Linked DNA regions of Notamacropus eugenii. The protein of the gene in region 2 interacts with the protein of the main gene of each other region in a pairwise test. Links are inferred from orthologs where the notes say so. Each region holds a gene or a part of one and is shown on either strand. Other genes may lie near its edges.

Evidence for each region.
Region 1: the proteins of COPG1 (region 2) and COPZ2 interact in a two-hybrid assay, tested with the Homo sapiens proteins (2 studies listed by BioGRID). The link is inferred for Notamacropus eugenii from reciprocal best matches to the Homo sapiens genes COPG1 and COPZ2.

The regions. Positions count from the first base shown.
Region 1 is NC_092873.1:353,147,086-353,157,807, reverse strand, and holds the start of COPZ2 (coatomer subunit zeta-2), read right to left. Parts: upstream 3,869-10,722; 5' UTR 3,743-3,868; coding exon 3,620-3,742; intron 2,615-3,619; coding exon 2,540-2,614; intron 298-2,539; coding exon 216-297; intron 1-215. UniProt on the Homo sapiens protein: The coatomer is a cytosolic protein complex that binds to dilysine motifs and reversibly associates with Golgi non-clathrin-coated vesicles, which further mediate biosynthetic protein transport from the ER, via the Golgi up to the trans Golgi network.
Region 2 is NC_092874.1:425,496,587-425,506,799, forward strand, and holds the start of COPG1 (coatomer subunit gamma-1), read left to right. Parts: upstream 1-6,105; 5' UTR 6,106-6,550; coding exon 6,551-6,587; intron 6,588-10,213. UniProt on the Homo sapiens protein: The coatomer is a cytosolic protein complex that binds to dilysine motifs and reversibly associates with Golgi non-clathrin-coated vesicles, which further mediate biosynthetic protein transport from the ER, via the Golgi up to the trans Golgi network.

The DNA.
Region 1 (10,722 bases), on a different chromosome or scaffold from region 2:
GTAGGAAGACAGGCAGAAGAAAGGAAAGACATGTCAAAGTCGGGGAGCAATCACCCCAAGTAAAAGAAATGGCCTGTATGCAGTCTCAGAGGTGGCAAAGGAGTGAGGAGGAGCCAGGGCCAAATTTTGCCTGGTTGGAGGGCGGAGTTTCGGGCTGGGGAGTGAGGCTGAAGTGGGTTAAATTGGGGGACAACAATGGAAATGCAGTCACTTACTGTCAGCTCTATTAGTCTTGTTGAAGACGTTTTTCTCAAAGGCTTTCTGCTCCTTTATGGAGGGGAATGTATCATCATAATACTAGAGAAAAGGGAGAAGAGATGACCACGTGGTGGGCTGGGGCAGGGGAAGCGGGATGTTCAATCAATGTGGAGCTGCGGGCTGGACTCACAGAGCCACCTCCCAGCAAAGTCCCCAGGTCCCCAGGGTCTGCCTAGAGCAAACACATTCAGCACGGCCCCACCCCACTGACTGCCAATTCCAGACAAAAAGATTATAAAAAGGAAACTATTTGTTTTTTAAGCCTGCTGTCTTCTTTTAGAAACAGCTGGAGGTCAGTCAGCTATCTGGTTTTCTCTTAACAATCCAGCACGTTTGCTTGGTGACCTTAATATGCCAATTAGACTACATCAAGGGAACAATCACCTCACCACTTGTCTCCCCGCTGGTTTTGGTTCAAAAAATAGGTGTGTTAGAGTCCTGAATCATTTAAGGAACTCAACTTCTTCTGCAGAGAATTTGTCTAGAGGCAAATCTCCCCCAAGTTTTCAGGGCCTGTGATAATTACTGGGGCCTCAGATAGAAACGTAGAATGAACATTCCAGCTCTAGAACCTAGAGCCTCCAGACTTGTGTTTGGGGCCCTGCCTCCTACACTTTCCTAGATTCATGACCTTGGGCAAATCACCTCCCCACTTAGTATCCTTATCAGTAAAATGGAGGGGTTGGGCTAGCCGATCTCAAAGGTCCTTTCCAGATCCAATATTTGGTGACTGTGAGCTACTGCTTTAGCTATTGTGGGAGGGGAAGCTATCCAGTCTGGTAATGAGGCACCAGCAGGCTTTTGTACAACTTCCCCTTTGCCTTTTTTCAAGGCAAAGAAATGGTTGGCCTGAGCTTTTGGACCACTATCTGATAGCTTAGTATAATGTGTCTGGGAGGACAAGAAGCTTGGAACACTTGGGATTGGGTATTCAGTTAATGGTCTGGGATGAGGAGAAACCTTGGCCAAAGAGACTAAAGTTCTATTTTTTTTTTAAATCAAAGTCAAAGAGACTTGAGCTCTATTTCCCATTCTATATTGTATGAACTTACAATGTCTTCTCTAGGCCTTAGGTTCACCATTTTTTAACATGGGGATTTGCGTAGTAAGGAACTATAGAAAAATGTGGTATTTACCACATCTGGATAGATCTTTAAATCCTAAACCAGTTCAAAGGACCTGAGTATAAATCCAGTCTCTAACACTTACTAGGTGGGTGCCATGGATGTTATTTCACCTCCTCTGGGGCTTCAGTTTCCACTTCTTTAAAATGATGGGGCTGTACCAGCTGGACCCTTTCATCTCTCAATCCTATGACCCTATGATTTGTTCTCAGCTACAAAGGACTAGGTACAGCTGAGTCTCAATTAACTTCACATCTGACTTATGGATATTCTACAAATACAGTACTGGACCGATGAGCTGCCTCACTTCATCCCCCAGAAAGCTTTGGGAGTATTGTCTGCCTGGGAGTACAAATCTATTTGAATATTACAAAAAGTAAAGCATAATTTTTTAAATATTCAAAAATTCATTCCAAACTCCAGAGTGAACAACTTGGAGGTTATGTACCCTGCTAACTGAGACAACAATGTACATGATTTTTTTTCTAGTTAGACTATGATTCTCCTCCACCAATAAACACATAATGAAGACATGACAGAAATAATATGGCAAGATACATAAAGCACATTAGTAATCAGGAGACCTGGGTTCTAATCCTGCTTTTGCCACTAACTAGCTTTGTGAATTTGGGCAAGTTACCTCCCCTCTCTAGGCCTTTGGTCCCTTGTCTGTCAAATGTAGCAGGATGGACTATGTAATTTCTAAACTGACTTCTAGTTCTGACATTCTGTGATATTACGGCTGTTGGCTAAGTTGAAGATAATGAAGATAGCTTAGTTGCTAGATTTGGGGCAACTGGGACCACTGAGTTTCATTTTTTTTGTGGCATTACGTCTAAATCCCTAGAAGACTGAATATGATGTCCTCTCATTTTCTTAGGATCCATCTGGCCATTGGAAAGGGTGGAGAAAGATAAGGCTCTACTCAAGGAGATGCTCCTTTACCATACTACATGCAACCCAAACTGAAAATCTGAAAGTGGCAGGTGGGTGGACCTCATATCTATTCTGAGATACCATGGAGGAGGCCTAGTGTTTTACACTGGCTTGGAGTCCAGGGGACTCTAATCTTTGGTTTTCTGGGTTGTTATATTCCTAGAGACCTTTCTGATGAGCTGGGGCAGGGGAGGCTATAGGAAAGAGAGATAGGGAGTTACCTTGGCCAGAAGCCGTTGTCCATCATTATCCAGGATGAAAACTGCTTTGACAGTGTAGAGAGATGGTTCCTGCAACTGACCCCAAGCAAAGGAAGAGTAAGCTGGCTGAGGAGGGAAGTGACCATCAGACCTATTCATCCCAGTCACTGAAGAAAGGGAATCATCAGGCTTCACAGGATCCCTTTCATGGAGATCCACAGTGTCTGACTGCTCTGCAGTCTCCTCACTGCCCCAACACTGAAATCCCCACTGACTCCTCTTTTCTGAGGCTGCTGAGTTTCCAGGAAGCTTCTACTCTGCCTCAGAGGCCAAGGCCTGCTGCTGGGTGACCCCTTTCCGTGCAGAAGGTCCACCCAAACCCAAGTTCTGTCATGCACTGACTGCTCCAGAGTCTAAGTCGGAGTGTATCACAGAACCTGGGCTGGGGAGACTCGCGGAGGTCCTTTTCTGACCCCCAGCAGAACCTTCTCCCTACTGATTCCAGAGCTTCAGGATCTGATCCAGGACTGGGATCCACTTTCCCAGAGAGCTTGGGAATGTCAATCAGATGCAGAATCCGACACATCCACATGGTTGGGTCTCGAACTTGGCCAGGAGGATGGGACAGCTTCCCCTTTCCCCACCCCCACCCGTCATCCCTTATCAAATTGGCAGCCTTACTCTTCTCTTTCGCTTTCCTAGAGTTGGCATGCCCACCTGGAACCTCCAGAAAGCAAGAGGCACTCGGAATTTTTCTTAGTACATGTGCACGGTCGAATGTGCCCACACCCTGCACCCCCAATACCGAACCCAAATCGATCTAGAATTCTAGCCAAGCCCAGATCCAGAACCCTCCCCATGAGTTTGGACCAAGAGCTCATAACTTTTTTTCCTCTCGTAGCCCAGAGCCCTTTCCTTACTAGGGCTCAGGACACCACTAGCCCTCCCAGCCCTTCTAGCGCTTTCCGACCCCCGCGCCCCAGCCCGGACGACGGCGGTGGCCGAAAGTTCCTGGAGCTGCGCCCTGGCCGCCGCCGCCCCTAAAGCTGGGGAAGTTGTGAGTTGGTCGCAGCTCCGAACGCTCCCGAGCGCGCAGCGTACCCGCAGCCCCGGGGGCTCCGTGGCCCCAGCGCCCTGCGCCGTTCCACCCCGGGCTGCCGCCGCCACCTCCGCGGCGGCCCCCTCCCCTGGGTGCGGACGTGGCCAGGCCTCGGGCCGCTGCATTCCGCTCAGCTCCGCACTGACAGCACCGCCCGGCTCCGGCCCCGCCTCCGCCGCCCTCCCCCGCGGGGCTGGCCCGGCCCGTCCTGGCCCGCGGAGCGCGAAGCGCAGAGCGCTGAGCGCAGAAAGGAGAGGTCGGAGTGGAGCAGCCCCCCGAGGGAGGGGACTGCCCGCGATGCAGGGCTGGGAGGGAGGAGGGAGGCCGGCAGAGCCTCGCTTCGTCCTCTGGTCTCGTCACCTCTCTCTCTCTCTCTCTCTCTCTCTCTCTCTCTCTCTCTCTCTCTCTCTCTCTCTCTCTCTCTCTCTCTCTCTCTCTCTCTCTCTCTCTCTCTCTCGCTCTCTCTCGCTCTCTCTCGCTCTCTCTCGCTCTCTCTCTCGCTCTCTCTCGCTCTCTCTCTCGCTCGCTCTCTCTGTCTCTCTCAATCTCCTTTTCATTCCCTGTTTTTCTCTTTCCTCCCTTTTCTCTCTTCTCCTTTCTCCCTTTTTTTTCTCACTTCCCTTTTCCCCCCCTCTTCTCTCTCTGCTGGACTGGGAGTCAGGAAGATCTGAGTTCAAATGTGATCTCAGACGCTTAACTAGTTATTTGACTCTAGATTAGTGAGTTCAGCTGTCTGCTTCAGTTTTCTCGACTGTAAGTGAAGATAATAACATGACCAACTTCCCAGGATTGTCATGAGGACCAAATGAGATGACATTTGTAAAGCATTTAGCACAGTATATGTCTAGCCCATGTAAGGCACTTAATGAATGTTGGCTTCCTTTCTTCTATTCCTCTCTTTTCCTTTCTCTTTTCCCTCCTCACTTTTCCTTTTCTTCTCTCCTTTGTTCTCTTAAGTCACTTTCAGTTTTCTTCTCCCTTTCTTGTGTTTCTTTTCTCATTCCTGTATTTTTTTTCCTTCTTCTCTTCCCTTTTCAAATTCCTTTAAACTCCCCAATCTCTCTTCCCTCTGGCCTACTCTCTTCTACTTTGCCTAACTCTCCTTCCACTTTCATCCCTTTTTACCCTTACCTGCACTTCCCCCTCAGAGCTTTCTCATTCCTGTGTTTCACCTGTCTCCACCACATACGCACACACATGCACACATGCACGCACGCAGGCATAACACATATATACAATCAATCAATAAATATTTATTAAGCTCCTATTATGTACTGGGCATCGTGCTGAGCCCTGAGGGACACAAAAAGAGGCAAAAGACAGTTCAGTCCTCTTACAATCTAATGGGGGAGACCATATGCAAACAAATATATGCATAATACAAACTATATACAGGATAAATAGGAAATAATTAACACAATGAAGACATTAGAATGAAGAGGGATCAGGGAAGGCTTCCAGTAAAAGATGAGATTTTAGTTGGAATTTAAAGGAAGCCAGCAGAGGAGGAAGAGCGATCCAGGCATGGGGAACTGCCAGAGAAAATGCCCTGAGCTGAGAGATAGAGTGTCTTGTTTATGAAATAGGCAGGGGGCCAGTGTCATTGGATCAAAGAGCACTCATTGGAGACTAAGAAATCAGAAGACTGGAAGGGGATAAGTTATAAAGGACTTTGAATGCCAAATGGGACATTTTATATTTGCTCCTAGAGGCAATAGGGAGCCGCTGGAGTTTATTGAGTAGCAGTATAGCATGATTGGTAAAGTCACTTTAAGTGGCTGAACGGAGGATGGATTGGTGTGGGGGAAAATCTTAAGGCAGGCAGACCCACCACATGCTATTGCAATAATCCAGGTGTTTGGTGATGAGGACCTGTACTAGAAAGGTGGAAGTATCAAAGGAGAAAAGGGGAGGTATTCAAGAGACGTTGCAAAGGCAACATTGGCAGACTTTGGCAAAACCTTGGATATATATAGAGAGAGATCCAGAGTGATTCCTAGGTTGCCAGTCTTATGGACTGGGAGGATGGCATTGCCTTGGACAGTATTAGGGAAAGGGTGGGGTGTGGTTTAGGGAGAAAGATCATGAATTCTGTTTTGGACACACAGAGTTGAAGACGTCTGAATGGTAGTTGGAGGTCAGAAGAGTTTAGGGCAGAATAGGTAGATTTAAAGACCATCAATATAGAGATGTTAATTGCATCCATGGGAGCTGATGAAATAGAAAGTACAGAGGGAGAAGAGAAGAGGGCCCAGGACAGAACCCTGAGGGACACTTACAGTTAAAGGGCATGATCTGTAAGAGCATCCAGCAAAGGAGACAGAAGAGAAGCAACCAGATAGGAAGGAGGAGAACGGGGAGAGAGTGGCATCCTGACAACCTAGAGAGAAGAGAGTATCAAGGAGGAAACAGTGATCAACAGTGGCAAAGAGAGGTCAAATGCAGAGAAGTCAAGGGGACAGGAGATGGAGGACTGAGAGAAGACCACTGAATTTGGCAACTAAGAGGTCACTAGTAATTTTGGAGGAGCAGTTTCAGTGGAAAGATAAAGTCAGAAGCCAGATTGTAAAGGGTTACGAAGACCATGAGAGGAGAGGAAGCGGAGGCACCTAGTATAGATTGCTTTCTCGAGGCATTTAGCTACAAAGAGAAGACATATAGGAAGACAGAGGGGATGGAAGGACAAAGTGAGGGGTTTTTTGTTCAGGATGAGGGGCACACGAACATGTTTATAGGCAGTAGGGAAGGAACCAGTAGACAAGGAGAGATTGAAAATAAGTGAAAGAGTAGGGATGACAGAGGGAGCAATCTGTTGGAGGAGATAGGATGGAATGGGATCACTTGAACAAGTAGAGGAGTTGGCCTTGGTAAGGAGTGAGGCCACTTTATCATATAAAACAGGAGAAGGAGGAGATGATAATCAAGTCATCTGAGTGATAGGGGAAGCCTAAGAACGGAAAAGAAAAAGCTCATAGCAAATTGTCCTCCATTTTTTCTCATTCACACACTCTTATTTGTTCTTCTGGGTTTCTGATTCCCACCGGGGACTTACAGAGAGCAGTGGGCAGAGCCCATATTTTTGGTCTAGTATCAAGAGTCCAGAAACATGAACTGTCTCTTCTCATATTACCAATATCTTACTCAAAATCCAGAAGAGACTAGTAATCAAAAAACCCAGAAATGATAAAATTAAATAGGGAACAACTTTATTTGTATATATATATAACATATATATACATATATATAAATGTTCATTTTATTTTTAATGTTCTACAATCACTACTATAAAACTTGGATTTTCCCCCCCCTACCTAACCCCCACCACCCCCTCCCTCCCCAATACAGCATACAATTCTATGTAGGATCTACACATACATTGCTGTTGAAGACATTGGGAACAACTTTTGGAGCAATCTTTTGAAAACCTTGTAAACACTTCCCATCACAGATTTAGACCTAGAATCATAGAAATCAAAGGGATCCTCAAGTTTAGTCCAGCCCTCTTAGTCAGCTCAATTGTTTGTATTGTATAGCAGTAGAGGGGAACAGTGGCCCCCTTAAACCAAAAATAGAGACACCTCAACTCTCTGAAATAATGGAGATTTATATTGGTATGAATTTTTTCTTTTGGTCTGGATCTATAATTTAATTATTAAGGAATCCCAGTATATAATGCTGGCATTAGGGAATATCTACAATTCATTTGTACCTTGGATTCTTTTGTATATACACACACACATGCATAAATACATATATATGTATGTATGTTTTTGTTTATATTATAATCATTTTCAGCTGTACTCTTACTTTACCCCTTAACCCCTGAGAGCCTTTGCTTCTAACAACAACCAAAAAGTTAAGCAAGGTCAAACAACACCATAATCCAGTGTGACTACATGTACAACATTCCATACCCATAGTTTTCCACCTCTGTTACAAAAGAAGGGTGGTTGTTTTTATTGTTCGGTCACGTCCTACTTTTTGTGACCCCATTCAGGGTTTTCTTGGCAAAGATACTAGAGTGGTTTTCCATTTCCTTCTCCAGCTCATTTTACAGAGGAGGAAACTGAGGCCAACAGAGTTAAGTGACTTGCTCAGGTTCACAGAGCTAGTAAGTGTCTGAGGCTGGATTTGAACTCAGGAAGATGAGTTCTCTCATCTACTCTATCCACTCAGCCAGAAGGGTTCTATTTTTCCTCATCTTGTCTTCAGGCCCATGATTGATCATAGTTGTTACTCAGTGTACAGATTCATATAACATATTCTTGGAGAGTTGCCTAGGATACTGAGAGGTTAAATGACCTGCCCATAATCATGTAGCTTGTATATGTCAAGGGCAGGATCTGAGCTCATGTTTTCCTTGAGTTGTCAAATCAAAAATCATTTATTAAGCAATACTAAGTGCCTGACCTGTGGTAGAGCCTTCTGTGTACAAATTGGTCTGATCAGCCACAGTCAGACTCACTGTACCTTGACCTCAACATAATGGTGTCATTTGGGTTCTTTCTGAGAACAAAGAACAACCAACAAATCAACCACATAAGTGAATGAGTGAGTCACGTGAGATAATTTTTTTACAATAATACCTATCCTTAAAGAACTAACAATTGAATGGAGGAGACAAGAAGATATATAGACATAGGTATCCATGTCTATATCTTTCTACATATCTATATGAGAGAGAGGAGAGGAGAGGAGAGAGAAAGAAGGAGAGAGAAGGAAAGGAACAGTGAAGAGAGAAAGAGAGATACAGAGAAATGGAGAAAGAACATTTAAGGGAATATCAGAGGGAGGGTCCTAACAGTTGAGAATGGGGAGGAAGACAGTGAAAGGCCTTTTGCAGAGCTGTCTTGAAGGAAGCCAGGAAAGCCAAGAACCTGAGACAAAAGAGAGAGGGCATTCCTGGCACGGAGGAGAGACAAAAAAGAACAGAGCTGAGAAACTGAGGGTAGTATTTGAGGGATAAGAAGGCCAGTGCTGCTGGATCACGGAGTACTCAGAGGGGAGTTAAAGTAAAAGAAACTGGAAAGATAAGAAGAGATAAGGTTGTGAAGGATTTTAAAAACCAAACAGCATTTTATGTGTAACTCCAGTCCCTAAACCCATCGATGGATGGAGATCAATGTCCTCTGTCTCTATAAAGGAGGGGGGAGATAGAGGGAGGAAGGATGTGTGTGAGTTGGCCAGAGTGTAAGGGGAGATCTCTTTAGTTTTAATTTGGATCTTCTTTGAGTCCTTTTGGGTGTTTCTGGCTTCCATCTTTGAGAGGGAATATGGAAGAGGCCAAGCCCACTTCAAGTTGCTGATGGAAAAGAATCTGGAAAGACACAAGAGGATCTGACAGTCTCCATTGGGTCCCTATTCCCAGCTTCCTGTTATAATGTTGCTCTTTGTCCTTTGTTTTCTAAGAGGACCGATGACATCCCAGGGTGATGTCTTGAATTGCAGGTGAATTGGGTTTAATTGAGGCAGTTGCACAAAGTCATCAGATTAATTTTTTTCCTAAATCATCAAAAGCCAGTGGTAGGACAAAAGTCAACATGACTGGCAATGGCCCTGGATGTGGTAGATAACCTTGGTGTCTCAGATGCCTAAGCAAGCTCTAAGAGCTCCACAGCAACTGCTTCAACTGTCTTCATGGTCATTGGAACAAATTGTTCTCATCCACCCATTCTGTCCCAGAATCTACCCCAAATGTCTTCACATGTATGGGGTAGATAGCCCCCTAGTTTACCAATGAGTTTGAGACCCCTCAGTTACCCTCAATCTGCTTTTCATACTAGGGTGAGGCTGCTGTGCAAGCTGAAGTCTTGTAGCCACAGGTGAGAGTTGGGTGAATCAGGAAGACATCAAAGCTGGATGAGAATCCCTGAAAAAGGACTGAGCAAGTCTTCATACCTGAGGTGCTAGTCCTCTTTGAGTACTCCATACACCCCAGCTTGCTACTCTAGAGACTTTGGGGAATTTCCCCTTCAGTAAGATCTAGAACTCTCTCTTGGTTGATCCCAGTGGGAAAGCTCCTTCACTCACTATTGCCTGGTATATACTCTCCTATGTATACTTTCTCTGATTTTTGCTTTGCTACCAATTTAGATAAATGAGTTTTCTTTGATGATTGCTATGTGTATTCATTATAGAACTGGTATTTGGGGGAAAAGGGGTCAAGATTCAGATGTAGTGGTTGGGAGTCCTCCTGCCCCCTAACATTGACATAATAATCAGAAGTTAGCTTGAACCTGAAAACCTCATCTTCTATACTAATAATATTTAAGAAAGTGTAAATATGTATAATAATATTATGCTATATAATTACATATTATTATATTATGTGTAATAATATATATAATAAATATAAATCTATCTCTAGCTAGCTAAATATCTAAATTCTAGCCCAGTACCCTCTCTCTCTGAGGACAGCAGAGTAGCCAAGCTTCTGACCCCTGCTTCCTCTCCTGGTAGGAATTAAGGTCTCTCTTGGAGAAGGATAGGGGGGACAAGATACTATAGTTATCTGCTTTGGCTTTCTTCAGTCCTTACAAAGATGCCCCCATGCTACATGCTGGGCACAGGCCCTCATTGCAACACATAAGGTCTAAACACATATATTTGAACCTGGAAGTAATGGGGGCCACTGGAGTTTATTGAGTAGGGAAATCACATTGTCAAACCTGTCCAAACTTTGGCAACTGAGTGGAAGATAGGCTAGACTAAGAAGAGACTTGAAGAAGGGAGATCAATTTAGAAGGCCACCACAATATTCCAGGTGCAAGGTGATGAGAGCCCCAATCAGGGAGTGCCTTTGTGAGTGAAGGGAAGAGGATTTATTAAAGAGGTCTTTTAAAGGTAGGAACAATAGGACTTGGCAACAGATTGGACATGTGGGATTGGATATGTGAGGAGGAGAAGATGATGTTAGATTGCAAGCCCGTATGGCTAGGGAAATGGTGGTGTCCTAACAATAATAGAGAAATGTGAAAGAGAGGAAGATTTGGGGGAAAGATAATAAGCTCAATTTTTAAAATTTTCTTTTATTTTCTTTTAATTAATTAATTAATTTTTTTCAGTTTTCTACAATCACTTCCACAAGTCTTAGATTTTCTTTCCC
Region 2 (10,213 bases):
TAAGAAAATAATAGAATTTAAAGGACTCAACTTCTCAGCCAAAGCAGGAATTCTGTCTAAAACATCTGGGACAGTCAAGAAGTCTTCATGACACACCTGAATTTAAAAGATAATTCCCATTGACTTAAAAAAACCAAAAAACTATACTATAATACAGTATTGACTGATTTAGGATTCAAAAGACATTTAATCCTGGCTGACTGTCCTTAATTAGCTATCTGGCTTTGGGCAAGCCACTTTCCCTTCTGAGTCTCAGTTTCTTTATACAAGAGGAAGATCACTTTTTGCTGAAATAACCAGAGAAAGGTAGTGAAAGATATGGGGTTTGAGATGGGTTCTGGAGACTTGAAGAAGGTATTCTAGGTAAGCAAGGGCATTAACGGGAAAAAGAGTATGCAGACAAAGCTTAGTGTATGATGATGTGGATGAAGAAGATAGTTTGTGCTAGAATCCACTGATGCTAATTTAGACGGAGTGGGGGGGAGGTCTCAGTCTAGACACAGGTGGGCATCTGCTGAACAAAAAAGCATCTTCCTCTCTCCCTCATAATTTTCCCATGGAGAGACAACCATACCTAGGGTACAAAGACAATCTCTAGGGTTTGAAAATTGTGATAGCCAATTTGGGCCATCTGGTGTTGGCATTTAGTCATTCAGTCATGTCTAACTCTTCGTGACTCCATGGACCGTTGCATGCCAATATTATCCATGGGGTTCTTTTTCTTGGCCCATAAAGTTCTCATTTTGTTTTAGCCAAATATTCCACATTCCTAGCAAACAGGTCTCTCCCTAACAGAGAACATGCTTGCTCAGACAAATGCAATGTTCCCAATTAGAATTTCTTGCCTTGCTCTCCATTGGACAGATGCAGCCTCCTGAACCTCCCACTTCATGTTCTCTTCCCTGATAGGTTCCCATGGCGTTCTTTTAGCAAAGATATTACAATGGTTTGCCATTTCCTTTTCCAGTGGATTAAGACAAATAGAAGTTATGTGACTTGCTCAGGGCCACACAGGTAGTAAATGTCTGAGGTCACATCTGAACTCAGGTCTTCCTGACTCTAGACCCAGTGCTTTATCCACTGAGTCATCTAGACACCTCCAAAAAAGATAAGGAGCTAAGCAAGCACCACCGGGATTCCAAACCAGGATCTTCTGTTTACTAGACAGGAGCTGTAACCAACTAAGCCACAGTGCCACCCAAGCCCATCTACAAGCTCAAATTTGGGAATACAGACCTATATAGATCACTTTACTTCTCTGGGCCTCAGTTTCCTCTTCTGTGTAATAAAAAAGTTTTACTAGATGGACTCTGAGGTCCCTTCTGGCTGTAGCTCTATGATCCTAAAACATGGGGTCTTAATGTGGGGTCTTTGAACTTTAAAAAATTTTGATAACTAATAAAATTACTTGTAATCTCTTGTGCTTTATTTTATGCATTTAAAAACATGATTCTGAGAAGGGGTCCATAGGTTTCACCCCAGGCTTAAACCATCATCCAGCTCAGGTGTAGGTGCAGAAAGGTCAACATATCACAGAAGGGCTAAAACCATCCAAGCAGAGCCCAAGTAAACTCATGATGGCGGAGACGTAGGTATCACCACTGATGCTCACATGTGTGGTTCGTGCTGTGAATATATGCTAATGCATATGTGTCATTTTTTGTATTCTGGTTTTCTTTTTTACTTTTTATGTTTTCTGATTTATGTACTAATGACATGCATTGTACTAATATATTACTGTTGCTAAGGATGCTTACTAACCATATAATTTTACTGTTTTACATTCACATCCTTATATACTAGGTATGTATATTCATGGGTCTTTGTAAGGTATTCTTGTAATATATCCCGCATATAATTTAGGCCTCTAGTCATAAAGTAGTTCTATCAAGTGATAATTTGCATTATGCAGTGCTTACTGCGGGTAATGTTAACATAGCTATGATCTGTAAACAGTACAGTGGAATGCTTTAAGTTGCTGTTCAAGTGTATCAGTAAAACTTTGTGGGGACTATAAAATCTTTTGCTGAGAGGTAGGAATGTAACAAATGTGTAGTTAGGAAGAGCCTTTCTTTGAACTTTTTGGTTTCGGCCCAGAACTACACATTCCACAAATGAACCGGAGAGCTCAGAAGTGTCTAGTACTAAACAGCGAGGAGATGTGGTTAAATGTCAGGGGAAATGGAGTTCTTTAAAAGACTGACTGGACCACGCAGCTGTGGGATTGCCCAGGACAGGGGAACTGGACTCATACCAAGAAACAGTCATACCAGACAACCATGATATCCACGGGGTTGGATTCAACTTGCCTGGTAGAGGGAGTCCCTATCTTCTTCCCTTGGGCTTTTGGGATGGGAGACTGTAGCCACCTGGGTTTCTGGGAAGTCAAATGACATTTCGATAAGTATTTTGAGAGAAGTAAGGTCAACATACCTGCACTGGGATTTTGTAAGAGAGCTCAAGAGTTCTCCTGGTCAGGGATTGGTTGAATTGGAAAGCCTGACGGTAACCTCCCCCACCTGTCCCTTTTTTTCTATTTATCACTGACATTGACAGGAGGAATAAATAATATTGTTCCTTTGCAAGTGGCTTCTATTAATGTTGATTCTCTGGGGTTTTTTGGGACAGCTAGGTGGCACAATGGATAGCTGGGAGTGAGGAAGACTCTTCTTCCTGAGTTCAAATCTGACTTCAAACACTTACTAGATGTGTGACCCTGGGCAAGTCACTTAACCCTGTTTGCCTCCATTTCCTCATGTAAAAAATGAGGTGGAGAAGGAAATGGCAAACCATTTCAACTTCTTTGCCAAAAAATATCCCCAAGAGTCAAACACAACCCAACAACAAATACTGTGTTTATTATCTTTCTATGTCTTGTAGTAAACATACCTAAACTATTATTTGAATCTGTTTTTCTTTTAGTTCACGTGGATTAGGGACTGAGGCAATCAAGATATGAACCATACACCTAAGATATATTTTAGAGATGTTCATGGAATCAAAGTCAAAATTGTAACATTTAGGAAATATTTTATGTGAATGATTCTTTCACATTTTTAAAAGCCTAGAGAGAGCCTAGAAGAATCTGGATCAAGGTTAGGGGGACAGAAGCTTGCCATATATAGCAACCTCAACAACTGTGGTCAGCTATTGAAAACTGTGCTTCCAACATCTCCCTTGAGGAGAGACAGGATAGAAGAGGGAAAGAAACAGGCTCTTATTAAATGGCTACAACGTGCTGGGCAATGTCCTAAGAATTTTACAAATATCTCATCTGCTCCTCACAACAACCAAGGGAAGTAGGTACTATTATTATCTGTATTTTACACTGAGGAAAATGAGACAGAAATTGAATGACTTGTCCAGGGCCACAGAACGAGTAAATTTCTGAGGCTGAATTTGAACTCAAGTCTTACTGAGTCCAGGTCCAGTGGTTTAAAAACTTTGCCACCTAAATGGACCTCTAATATTACTGTTATAGGGAGTTCCTTCTTGCTAAGAAACTTTTCCTTTCAGCATTTATTAGCATTTTTCTGTAACCATTTTAGAGAGTTGCCTTGAGGGATGGGGATAAAACTTCTCACTCTATGAGGAACCTTTCAGGCCTCTTGCTCTATGTGGAATGTCTATCATCTAATTTCCTTATTTTACTAATAAGTAGAGGCTAAAGAAGGTGACTTGTTTAAGGTCACAGAGTAAGTGGGTGAGGTGGGAATAGAACCCAGTCCTCCTGTGCTGTGGTGAGGGATGTTTCCATTCTAATTATGCTGCCCCCACCTAGGAGGGAGCACATTTGTTTGGCATCAAAGAATAAAGAAAAAGCATTGGTCTTTGATTCAGAAGACTGGGATTTGAATGCTGTGATCTTGGACAGGTCACCTAACAAATGAGATAATATTTGTAAAATGCTTAGCATATAGTAGGTTATATATATATATACATATATATGTACATATATGTATATATATATATATATATATAGCTTAATTCTTCTTGGCCTCAATTTACTATTTATAAAAAACAAGGGGGTTATATCTCTCCAGCTCCTGCTTGCTTTCCATTTATGATCTTCCTGTTGTGATTCGTGGCTTTCTGGTCCCAGGTGTGACAGATCCCTGGATGGAAGGGCTAATACGTGGCATAGGAGAATTGCTGGTCTGTGGCTTCCTCTGATTCTGTCCTAAGAGCTCCCTCAGGAGAGAGCAGGGCTCTAGTGACAGACAATGCATCTGCTGTCTATGCTGGCTCATCATAAGAATGTTGGCCATGGAAGGAGAACTATTTTTGGCCATACCAGGTCATGAATATCATCTCGCTTAGGAAGGGAGTACCCACCAGCACTGAAGGAAACATTAATTTTAAAGTAGAAGTTCAATTGAACATTTTATCTTTCACTATTTTTACATCATTCTCTGTTTCATAATGCATCTAAGTCATGTCTCCCCAAAGAGACTGCGGATTCCTTGAGGGGAAAGATAGATACTTTGATTTAATGATGGAACCTAAGATTGGTATACAGTTAACACTCAATATTATAACAATCCATATTTGTATAGCATAGTGCAGTGTACAAAGCATTTTTCTCACTACCCTATGGAGGAGATAGGGAAAAAAATATTAAGTGAATTAAAGAGGAATTTCCACATCCATAGGTCTACTTATGGTGTCTATGCAGGTAACTCATCAAAGCTAAATATTCAGCACCTCCCTCTCTTCTGAATTTCAGTCTTGCATCACCAATAGCCTCTTGGACTTCTGGAACTAGAAGTCTTGGAGATAGCTAAACTCAACATTCAAAAACAAAGCCCATAGTATTCTTTTCCTCTACCCTCAACCCCCTGATTTTTGAAAATTTCCTATTCCTGTCCCAGGTACCACTATCCTTCCTGTCTCCCAAGTTCCTAATCTCAGCACTATCATTAACTCTTTAATTTCCCTCACCCCAAACATCCAGTCGGTTGCCAGATCTTGATGTCTCTTCTTTCACGACTTTTCTCTTATCCAACTTTCTCTCTGCTCATTGAAAAATCCCCCCTATTTCAGGTCCCATCACCTCTCATTTCAGATTATTGCACAGGCCTCCTAACTGGTCTCCCTGACTTCTCTTTCCCCATTCCAGATCACACATCTGCCTATATTACACCTACTCAAAAACTCTAGTGGCTTCCTATGGTCTCTAGGATTAAATGATCCAATAAAAACTCCTCCGTGTGCCTTTCAAAGCCCTTCACAAGCTGGCCCCGACCTCTATTTCTGGCTGCATTATACATTACTGTTCCTCCTAAGCATCTTGGTCCAGTCAAACTGGCTTTATTCTAGATCCTTACACACCAAGCCCTTAATCTCCCATCTCCACGCCTTTGCCTGGAAGGTACTCCTTCCCCACTTCCTCCTCCAGAATGTCCCTTTTCCTTCTGGATGGTTAGCTTTTATCTTGTCTTTCTCCTGTACATCTGCAGACATGTATATAATGTCTCCTCGAACAGAAGCTGAGCTCCTCGGGAGGAGGGACTGTTTGATTTTGTATGGGTTTCACCAGCTCCCACAACAGTGACCAGCATGGGGCAGGTGCTGGATAAATGCTTGCGGAAGGGAACGAGCTGTTCACACGATTAACTTCACACTTGCCAGGCTCGTGGTCACCGAAGACAAAGGTCCCGGAACGTGGAGTCCACGGAGAAGCTCGGGTTCAAAGCCAGACTTTGCTCCTTCTAGTTGGGTGACCTCGGCAAAGCCCCAACTTCTGTTTCGTCGTCTTTAAAAAAAATGGGGGGGAGCGGTGGGCTAAGACTCTTCCTCTTCCTTCAAGCTCCAAAGGACAAGACCCCACGACAGAGGAGATGGATGTCGATGGAGGGAAGCGTCCTACCTGGGCAGGTGGGCCCGCGGCTGCTGAGGAGCCACGCTCCGCCCCGGGCAGGACGGGGTTAATGGAGTAAGCCCTGAACTTGGTCAGTTACAGCTTCCAGCTGGGAGGCCTTCAGGCCATAGTGTGCGCAGGCGCGAGCAGAAGGCGCAGCACTGAGCCCGCCCCACACGCGGCAGGATGTGGTTAAGCGAGAGCGCCTTCTAGTGGTCTATCGAAGCTTCTTCAGCTTTCCGGTCAGTGTGCGCAGGCGCGAGCAGAAGGAGCAGGGTTGAGCCCGCCCCATACAGGGCAGGATGTGGTTAAGCGAGAGCGCCTTCTAGTGGTCTATCGAAGCTTCTTCAGCTTTCCGGTCAGAATGTGCGCAGGCGCTGGCAGAGCGAGCTGTCTCGGGCTCGCAGGAGCTCAGCCTTACAGAACTGAGCCGGACACGACAGGGTTAAGCCGAGAAACGTGTCTGCCGTCCAGGTCAGAAGGCTCGAAGTAGACGGGTCTAGGCGTGCGCAGGCGCTCTGAGAGCGAGGGGGGCGGGGTACGGGAGGATCGCGCAGGCGCGCTACGCAGGGAGACGTGTCCCCCGGACTGGGTGGCCGGAAGTAGCCCGTACGGACTTGGATCTGGCCGGGTCTTGCAGGCGTCTGCCCGGTCCGTCAGTGCTGTCTGTCAGTTCAGCCGGCCCCCAGGATGCTGAAGAAGTTCGACAAGAAGGACGAAGAGTCCGGTGAGGGCCGGGGGGGCGGCTCCGGGACCCCGGGCCTGATGCAAGGCGGAGGGGGACCCCCTCTCCCCATGCCAGCTAACGGGCCGGGCGGGGCGGCCGGGCGGGGCCGCGGGGCCGGCGGGTGGGGGGCGTCCTCACTGCCCGAGGTCAGGGGCCCAAGCTGTTTGGGGAGCACGTCCCTCCTTGTTTAAAGGGAAGGCCTGCCGGGTGCCAGGCCCGAGTGAAAAAGCTGGGCAGACCCTGTCCGCAAAGGGCTTATCTTCTGCTGTGCAGCGTGTCACATACTTACAGGACGTGGGGGGCCGTTGACAGTGGGGGGACAACATGTCAGATAATTACAGGACATGGGGGAACGCTAACAACGCTGGGGGGGAGCAGCATGTCATAATTACAGGACGTGGGGGGCCATTGACAGTGGGGGGACATTAACAACACTGGGGGGGAGCAGCATGTCGTAATTACAGGACGTGGGGGGCCATTGACAGTGGGGGGACATTAACAACACTGGGGGGGAGCAGCATGTCGTAATTACAGGACGTGGGGGCCATTGAAATGGGGGGACATTAACAACACTGGGGGAGCAACATACAGATGTTGGGACTTGGGGGGGACATTAGCAACACTGTACATTCTTAAGGATTTATATTATCTTAGAACCAGCAGCATGTGTACATACAAGTAAATGCAAAATTCATACAAAGTAAATAAATAATCCAGGAGGTGAGGTAAGGGGATACAGTAGCACCTGCAGGGATAGGTAGATAGTGTTATTTGAACCAAGTGTTCAAGAAAGCTGGTTATTCTAAGAGTCAGAAGTGAGGAGGGAACACTTTGCAGATACAGGACAGCTTTTGCCATGACATCAAGATGGACGATGGATTATGTGTGTGCATATTAGTTTGGCTGGAATGAAAGGTGCATGAGGCATGTGATATGTAATAAGTCAGGAAAGGTAAGTTTGGAGTAAGTGTGAAGAGCTTGCAATACCAGCTGAATTTTGTTTTATCCTAAAGGTTATAGGGATTGGAGCTTTTTAAGCAGTGGATTGATCTGGTCAGGCTTTGCTTTAGTAGTGTCACTTTGGTAGCTGTGTGAGGGATGGATTGGGGAAGGGAAGGATTTGAGAGAGGAAGACCATCTAATAATCCAGGCAGAAGGTAATGAGTTCCTGAAGTAATGGTAGATGTGTGAGTGGAGAGGAGATGAATGCAAGAAATGTGGTGGAGGTAAAATTGACATTTGACCATGTTGGATGTGGCAGAGGTGAAAGAGACCTAGTTGAAGTCGCCTCAAAATTTTGAACCTGGGCAAGTAGAATAGTGGCATCCTTGATAAAAGGATAATGTGGGAGGGAGAGTACTTAAGGTACTTCAGCCAGCGTGAGGTACAGAGACTTTTACAGGATAATAGGATTGAGAGGTGGCAGAAATCTTAGAGACTATCTAGCCTAAGCCCCTTGTTTGATAAGTGGGGAAACTTGAAGCCCAGAAAAGATGAGTTTACCCCCAGGCAGCACAGTAGGTACCAGAGTCAGGACTTGAACCTAAATTAATCTCTTCCATTTATTTGTTCATTTATCCATTCATTACATCATTCTGTCTTTCATATTAGTAATTTAACAAAATGTCTACTATGTGCAAAGAGATATCAGTCAGTCACTAGCATTTTTTATGCGCCACCTGTGTGCTAGGCACGAAGATAAATGGAATAGATGCCTTCACAGAACTTATAATCTAATAGTAACCAAAAAGTATTCAGATATAATGCATGTTAAATGATTATAACTGTGTAAGGGGAATGTCAAAGTACTTTGAGATCAGATGAGACCAATCACTTTCAGCTGTCTAGCTTGAGGCAAGAAGGAGATGAAGGGGGAATTCAGGAAAGGCTTCCTGGAGGAGGTGGACTTTAAACTGGGCTTTGCAGAATAGGTAGGATGTCAGATGATGGAAGTAGGTGGAAGAAGACTTCCAAATTTAGAAAGTAATATAAATAAAAGTTCAAGAGTAGAAAAATTCAGGTCAGTTTAGGAAACAATGAACCAGTCTAATTTCACTGGAATGTGGAGTACTTGAGGGAAGGTAGAGTGAAATAAAACTGGAAAAGCAGGGAGGTCCCAGATGGTGGGAGCCTTAAATGCCAACCTGAGAAATTCAGAGACAGTGATATTGTCTAAGAAGTTAAAGTATTCATAAGATTACAGGTTTAGAGCTAAAAAAGACCGAAGGGTCATCTAGTCCAGCCCCTTTTTATTGATGAGGGAATTGGAGACCAGAAACATGCTTTTACTTGCTTGATAATTACTCAGATTGTAAGTACGTAGTAAGAATCAGAACTTGAACTCAGGTCTTCTCCACATCCAGTCCTCTCTCTATTGCATTATGCCATCTTTGTTCCTGTCCTATACTACACAGGGTGCTTACTACTCCTTGGAAGTTAGTTATCAGGAAAGATATAAACCCAGAAGACCAGAAGCCCACCAGGACCTGGGAAAGTTCTGTCTAGTATAAACTTTGGCACCATCCTAGTTAGAGAGAGACAGAGGAAGGGCAGAAGGATATCATAAACTATTCAGCTGTGGATTTGAGAAGCTTTTGATGACATACCAAGAACTCGAGGCAGAAATTGGAGCTGAAGCCTGGAATCCAGAATATACTCCTTAGCAGTAATGTTGGCTTATGTACATGAATGTAGAGAGGGAACAGAAAACCTCAGGAGGGGTCTCCTATGCTTACCCATGGATAGGGTTGCATAATTCACAGATGATCTTAAAAGATCTTCCTGGTTCCCTTACTGCTCAGGTCTCTCATGGAGCCCATCTGTGTACAGCTGAACCTCAGAGTCCTGCTCAAGCCTTTGCAAATGTTTCCCTAGCTGTTGCGTTAGGATTCAAAGACTCATCCCACTCAGGATGTGGATAAAGGTGACACCTAGGAGGATAAGAGTCACTTTTCCCCACTACATTAAGCTAATACTGTGTTAGTTATGAAGCCCTTGGCTTACAGGTTTTCTTGTCTTCTGTCTCTTGTTTTTTCTGAACTGTTTCTATTTCAACAGGCTCAATTCTATACTCTCTCTTGCAATGTTTCCACCAATCTCTGCCCATGTGGTAAAATTTGACTAGATCATTTCATCTTCTTTTGGTGCACTGAAGTTGTTTTCTTTGCATGTTCACTGGCATTGAGTAAAACTGAAGTTTTTTGCGTAGGATCATCTCTTCTTCCAGAGCTAACATTCTCAGGAGACCATTATTAAGTTTTTCTTACTTAACCAGAGGGGGATGATATAGTAAACCTTGAGGAACCCTGTGCATGTTTCTTTTCTTTCTTTTTTAATATTTTATTTTTTCCCAATAATATACATTTTTTATTTAATATTTGTTTTTAAAATTTTGAATTCCAAATTCTTTCCTTCTCCCCTCATCCCATGCTGAGACGGTAAACAATTAGATTTAGATTATACATGTGTAATCATGCAAAACATGTTTCCATACTAATCATGTTGTGAAAGAAAACACAGATCAAAAAAAAAGAGAAAGAAAAATACTACGCTTCAGTCTGTATTCAGACTCCCATCACTTCTTTCTCTGGAGGTGGATAACATTTTTCAGCATGAGTCCTTTGGAG